Tribolium castaneum: one gene and its partner. The protein of the gene in region 1 binds, or shares a complex with, the protein of each later gene. Links are inferred from orthologs where the notes say so. Each region holds a gene or a part of one and is shown in the gene's direction. Other genes may lie near its edges. The genes, in order: SCAP and Trc8.

Evidence for each region.
Region 2: SCAP (region 1) and Trc8 share a complex: the UniProt entries of both Homo sapiens proteins name them as parts of the SCAP-SREBP complex. The link is inferred for Tribolium castaneum from reciprocal best matches to the Homo sapiens genes SCAP and RNF139.

The regions. Positions count from the first base shown.
Region 1 is NC_087398.1:6,299,842-6,304,241, forward strand, and holds the start of SCAP (sterol regulatory element-binding protein cleavage-activating protein), read left to right. Parts: upstream 1-1,447; 5' UTR 1,448-1,687; intron 1,688-2,538; 5' UTR 2,539-2,618; coding exon 2,619-2,782; intron 2,783-2,858; coding exon 2,859-3,270; intron 3,271-3,324; coding exon 3,325-3,470; intron 3,471-3,525; coding exon 3,526-4,400. Other genes in the region: fray (serine/threonine-protein kinase OSR1), read right to left, coding at 127-182. UniProt on the Homo sapiens protein: Escort protein required for cholesterol as well as lipid homeostasis.
Region 2 is NC_087395.1:24,734,697-24,737,152, forward strand, and holds the end of Trc8 (protein TRC8 homolog), read left to right. Parts: coding exon 1-1,520; 3' UTR 1,521-1,832; downstream 1,833-2,456. UniProt on the Homo sapiens protein: E3-ubiquitin ligase; acts as a negative regulator of cell proliferation through mechanisms involving G2/M arrest and cell death.

The DNA.
Region 1 (4,400 bases):
TATTTTATCTTAAAACTATTGGTATTACACTTTGTTGCAGTTCAGTTAAAAATTTGGTCGAATTAAAGCTGGAGTTACAGAAAGAAAGTTTTATCTTTTTTGCAATTTTTTGCTGTATTTACTTACCTGTTTTCGCTTTTGATGCTGAAGTTTTTGTCTTCTTCGGGTTTTTTCATGGTCATTTATTATTAAAATCACAGTTTTGATCTAACAATACAGGAAAATGTCCGCCAAGTTTCACACATTTGTAACTGCATCACTTCATGTTTAAAACTTTTTCGCCTTAAATTTTTTGTTAAACGATTTATCTATGCTGATACACATACCTGCAAGGCTGCTGGCTTTAGAACACTACAATGCGAACTTGAATTCGTAATTCTCTCCATTTAATCAAACTTAATGTATCTATACAAGACCTTAGGGGCCATGGAAGAAAATGATCTAATTTATCCATTAAAATCAATTAGTAGGTTTTATACGTAGGTGACATACTTAACAACAACTCAGATACAGGCTGTGCCGAAACTGAGTCAGATGTTTTGTTTCATTTTACACTACGTTTCTTATTTTCAGGTATTGATTGTCTTCTCATTTTTATCAAAAAATTCAGCAGAGCAGTGGCCGATAAATGATTACAATTTTGACACTGATTCTGCCGAGGTGGCAGATATAAATTATTTAAATAACATAAATAATTATGATAATAATAATTATGACGATTATGATGTTTGGGATCAAATCGAACATGATATACAGCTTTTAGAGGATACTGATGATTCTCTAAAAACTCGTGGAATACCAACTGGACACACAGTAAAAGCATCGAGTTGCTGCTTATTTCGAAATATTTTAAGTGTTTTGTAATTTATAGAGGAGAAATAAGTTAGGATGCGTAGAAAAATGGACAGTACACGATGTTCCAAAAATGTCAGAAGATGAGGAGATATATCCAAAGAGGTACCACAATATAACTTGTAAACCCGCCACTGGATCACACCAGGAGTCAGTCATGATGGGTTTTTGTACAGTGGTGTATAATCCAACGTGTGAAACAGCCTATCGTCAAGTTCCTATTTTTACAAAAAAACATAACTGTTGGAAACATACTCGCACCATTCCAGTGGAACAGGGATGCAAGTGTCGTCATCAGTAAACATCTAAATGTACAATAAAGGACTGGATTTTTCATAAATTATTTTTAACACATTTTTATTTGTATAAGCAAATAAACTTTACTGCTGAACAAACTTTCTTTTTTATCGAAATTCCCAAAATTCAGTTCCCGATAAAATTAGCCTAGTCTTTGAACTTAAGTTGGAGATATAAGGGGATGTTTATTGAAAAAAAACCGTAGTAAGCAGGCAACCAACAGTACACATTAATAAAAACTTGCAGTTGGCTGTGTGTTGCAACTAGTGCCACCTTCAGCTTATGATTATCAGTAATCGCTCACTGCAGCCAATCATTTTCTGCATGCGAAATTACATGTGTACTCTTATTTGTAGTTGTTGGTATTTATAAAAAATAATAGAGGCTTGCGCCCTGCGGCGTGTATTTTCGTAATTCGTCATCCTCAAGTGTATGAATGAGGTGTTTATCAATTTTTTGTAATAAAAACAATAGTTTAAATCATTGTGATGCTTGGTAATTGAATTAAATCAAGTCGGCAACGATGACAGTATCAAAGGTAAGTTGATATTCTTATTGCGAACCGCCGTAAACTGGTGTAATGTTTTTTGTAGGTTATGTAGATTCTTAATTCATTCTTTTTAAGATAAATGATTCATAATCATCTATTAATAAAAGTTATTATCGTGTGATTAGACACAGATTTAACTGTAAAAGATTAAGATTGGCCATTCCGTTATTTATGATTTATATGACCTTTGTCAATGCCCAGTGTAACGTAAGTTCGTAGAAATTGGTTACGTTGAGGTTATTTGGTTTTTGGAGGCGTAGGTCAATAAAGGACTAAACTGCTGAATAGATTCATTTAAGAATTATCTAACAATCACTTGGTGATAATAATTATTGTGCAAATTGTATTAACCTTGACTTCTGCTTTTCTTTATTAAAGATAATACATATATTATAACTGGATACACTTACATATTTTATAACTTGTTTTCCGAGAGCAAATTTTTTTTACCTCGCGTTAAAAATACCTCGAGTTATCTCCTTCGCAAAACACTTGTTTAGATTAGAGAATTTGTTCTTCCAAGAACTAGATTTAGCGATATTTGTTTCCAAAAAATAGGAATTTTCTCGAAATAAAGCTCAATAAAAAATCTACAGGGTGACACGAGTTGCACCTCCGACCTGACCATGCTTCAGGTTAGGCAACCGTTAGGTATTCTAAATAAACAATCAACAAAATCAATCGATCGAAGGTGTTTTTGGGAAGAAATAGTAGAAAAAGTGGCCAAATTCTGCATTAGTACTCAAATATACATTGCGCCATTGTTAGGTTTTGGGGTGGCTGTGAAACTGGCGCCACCCTGTATACTACGCTTTTTAAAATTTCGTATTTTTTTATAGATTTGGTGTTAAGAAGCGCCTCTCAAGTGACTTATTCTTTAATTTTGCATTTTTCGACTATGGCCAACGTAACATAGTAAATGAACACCCGTGGGGACGAACCCCGACCCAGGGGTACTTTCTGTGGAAAAAGCTCAACTCTTCAAGAGAAAGTTGCCCAATTTTATTACGCACATGGTCTGTTTTGTAGCACATATCCCGGGGCTTTGGTCTTCGTCGCAATTTGTGCAACTCTGCTCTCTTGGTAAATAATACAAACATTGCGTAACAATTCAAGGTTGTAATAGAATATCGTATGTTAATAAAGGCTTTATTTCCAGTTATCCATTATTAAATTTGCCTCTCCCTGGAAACTCGCCTTTGCAAACATGGACATCGAGCGTGAATTCCAGCTCGAATGTGCCACCTTTTTGCTACATTCAGCAAGTTGTGCTGAAGAGCACGGTCCTGCCGTGGGGCCCCGAGTTACACCTAGGTGACGCCTTCAGGGCGCCTCTTTACGAGGCTTTTAAACTTTTGGAAGCTGTTAGAAATTACCAGGATGAGTCCACGAAGAAAACGCTGGGACATGTGTGCTTACATGTCGAGTCGATTAGGAAAAGTAAATCAAACTACAAAAACATCCTGCCGGAGTATAGTTGTTTAGTCCTGTCGCCGGCTAACTTGTGGCAACAGGACGTCCTCAAATTTACGCAGGATAGCTCTCTACTTACCACAATTTTCAACCATCATGTAAGAATACGAGCTTCGCTTGTTCGTAATGTATATAAAATTTTTTGACTTCAGAACTTCCAAAAAGGCAAAACATCAATCACGGAAATGATGTTCGGTATGAAGGTGTTTGACACCGGGATTAAACGATATCCGTTGCGAAACCGCTACAGAATCATTCAGTACGCCATAACACTTTTTTTCAAGGAATATGACGAAAAGTAATAATTCGTTCATAGAAAGTTTTCAGACTTTCTAATTGAAATTGTATTGCAGGTTTGTTCATGGTTTGCGCAGAAAGCTGCAGTCGGTGTATTCCTTACACCAAAATTTGGAAAACGGAACAAATGCTAACTTTGCCACGCTCAACGACACTCTCATAATCCAATATCCCGGTGAAATCAACTTGGTCGAGTTCATTCCCATTACTTTGGCGTTTTTAATCCTGTTCCTGTACTTTTATTTCTCGTTTCGCAAAATCGAATTAATTCACTCGAAGCTCGGAATGGCCTTTACTTCCGTTCTGACCGTGTGTGCAAGCCTCACAATGACCTACGGCTTGTGTTTTTTCTTCGGCCTAACTCTGAACCTTGAAGGAAAAGTTGTATTTCCATATTTAGTGTTGCTAGTTGGCTTGGAAAATGTCCTATGTTTAACAAAAAGCATAGTTTCGTCGCCCCTCCACCTCGACGTGAAAATCCGCATAGCGCAGGGTTTGAGCAAAGAAGGCTGGTCCATCACCAAAAACCTCCTCCTGGAAATCACGATTTTGACGTTCGGGATCTTCACCTTCGTCGCGGTCATCCAGGAGTTTTGCATTTTTGCGGTCGTTGGTCTCGTGACCGACTATTTCATGCAGATGATTTTCTTCTCGACGGTTTTGGGGATTGACATCCGGCGGAAGGAGAACATGGTGGAGAGACACAATCTGAGCTTTCGGAGCAGTCTCTTCCAAAGCCAGGTTTTCTACGATAAGTCGTTCGGTATTCGGCGATCGAAGTCGCACCCGCGACTGTCCTCCTTCCCTGCCAATATCGTGGCAGGGCAGGTGCAGGGCGCCCAAGAGAAAAAAATCCCGAAACGGTTGAAACTTGTGAATATTTGGACCAGGACGCGGTTTTTCCACCGCGCTTTTATGATCTTGATGGTGA
Region 2 (2,456 bases), on another chromosome or scaffold:
TCGACAGCATCCTCTCTCTCAACATCGAACACCTCACAAAAAACGGAAGCATCACACTCCAAATTTTCCAAAACTACGTCCTTCAATGTTTCCTCTCCTTCATCTTCATCAACATCCATCTCGGCCCTCGCTACTCCACCCTCCAGAAAATTCTCCCGTTTGCATTCCTCGCCCCCAGTATGCTCTCAATCCTCCCGGTGCCTTCGTCCCTCCTCAACCACATGCCAGTCTTCTCCGCGCTCTTGCCCCTGGCTTTGGTCAAATTCGTCCTGTGGTCGTCCGTAGTGCCTATCATCCAGACCCTTTACAATGGATACACACACGCGAGGACTTTCGTCTCGAATTTCGGGATGTCGGCCCTTGTGGAGACGGAATGGACGCGTCTGAACGTCCCGGAAGTCCTCCGGACGTTCTGGATGCTCCGCGTCCTGGAACACGCCGGGATCTTCTTCGCCTCGGGTTACTGGGACCTGGAGGACGACCACACGCCCTACTTCCGGCTAATGAAGTACTTGTTAGTCACGGGGTGTGACACCTTGACCGCAGTGTTGGGCATCACGAGTATAGTGTCTTACGTGTGCAACTACATCGGGAAGTTCTTCCAGTGGTTGTTGTTAAGTGACGACGAAAATGATAAGAATTTTGGGACGGTTTCGGCGATAGTGTTCTACATCCTTGCCTTACAAACCGGCCTAACCGGGCTCGAGCCGGAGATCAGGTTCGTCCGGTTGTGCCGGAACTTCTGCCTGTTGTTCACGGCAATTTTGCACTTTGTGCACAACGTGGTCAATCCTCTGCTGATGAGTTTGAGTGCTTCGCACAACCCGTCACTGAGGCGCCACCTGCACGCTCTGCTAGTCTGTCTGGTGCTAGTGCTACTGCCACTGCTCCTAATGTACTACCTGTGGTCCACTCAGGACACTTCCACCTGGCTGTTGGCAGTGTCAGCCTTCAGCATAGAAGTGATAGTCAAAGTGTTCGTCTCCTTGGCCATCTACTCCCTGTTCCTGCTGGACGCCCGCAGGGAAACCTTCTGGGAGAAGCTGGACGACTACATATACTACATCCGCGCGTTCGGCAACACCGTCGAATTCTGCTTCGGCATTTTCCTCTTCTTCAACGGCGCCTGGATCCTCCTGTTCGAGAGTGGCAGCGCGATCCGCGCGGTCATGATGTGCATCCACGCCTATTTCAACATTTGGTGCGACGCCAAGGCCGGCTGGTCGGTGTTTATGAAGCGGCGAACGGCCGTCAACAAGATCGAGAGCTTGCCCGAGGCTGAGGAAGAGCAGTTGAGGCGTTTGGACGACGTTTGTGCCATTTGCTACCAGGAGATGCGGTCGGCGAAGATCACCCGGTGCAAGCACTTCTTCCACGGGGTGTGTCTGAGGAAGTGGCTGTATGTGCAAGACCGGTGTCCGCTGTGCCATGAGATCTTGCACGGGATGGACTGTGATGAGCGGAAGCAGAATCAGCCGAGGCCGACTGACCAAGAGGAGGAGAATAATTACGATAGGTGATAATTTTAAGATGTGATCTTAGGGAGTTTTAAGTTAGGGTTCGCGGAGTGTGCGTATTTTAGCGACTTTGACGAGGATTGAATTGGTGGAGTCTGTGATTTGGTCGGGGTGAGCCGACAGAACGATTGTTGAAAGGGTACTTATGTTAAATTTTTCTTGTAAATATCGATTGTACAGATTAGACGGTAAATACTTTCCTTGATTCAGTTTCGTTGTTATTTATGAAATTTTATAACTAAACACTTAAGTCACTGGGGCACTCCTGAATATGCTGTTATGTAATTTATTATAGAATAAAAGCTATTTTAAGTTTGTGGCCGTCTTATTTCCCATCATCCTTTCACCTCAAAAAACATTCCAAATTTTTATTTTGCACCGATTACCGATTAATCGCCGCTAATTTCAATGAGATATCTCGCAAAAAGTACAGATTCGGCAAAATTAAGTGTTTCAACAAAAAACCGATGCCGTTGTAAGTTGTAAACTTATTTGCTGAGCATTGAAAAGTTTTTCTTACAAAAACTGTAACACCAAAGTAATCGGCGTGAAAAATTCAAAACAGTGCCAATTTTAAGGAGAAATCTGGCGAAAATTCCATTTTCAAACGCTGATTACGGCAAAATTAAAAAGCTCAGACGAAAAAAACATCGGCACCGTTGTAATCGGCAATCAAACTTGGGTTTTTCCTATTTTGTCAACTGCGAAGACATAGTTTTCGCCAAAAACAGGTTAAAAATTACTATAATTTGAATTCCGTTTTTAAAACTACGATAATGACGCAAATATGGTCACAAAAAGTCAAACACCTAAGTAATCGGTGTGAAAAATTCAAAACGGTGCCAAATTTAAAGAGAAATCTGGCGAAAATTCCATTTTTAAACGCTGATTATGGCAAAATAAAAAAGCTTAGACGAAAAAATAACCGGCATCGTTGTA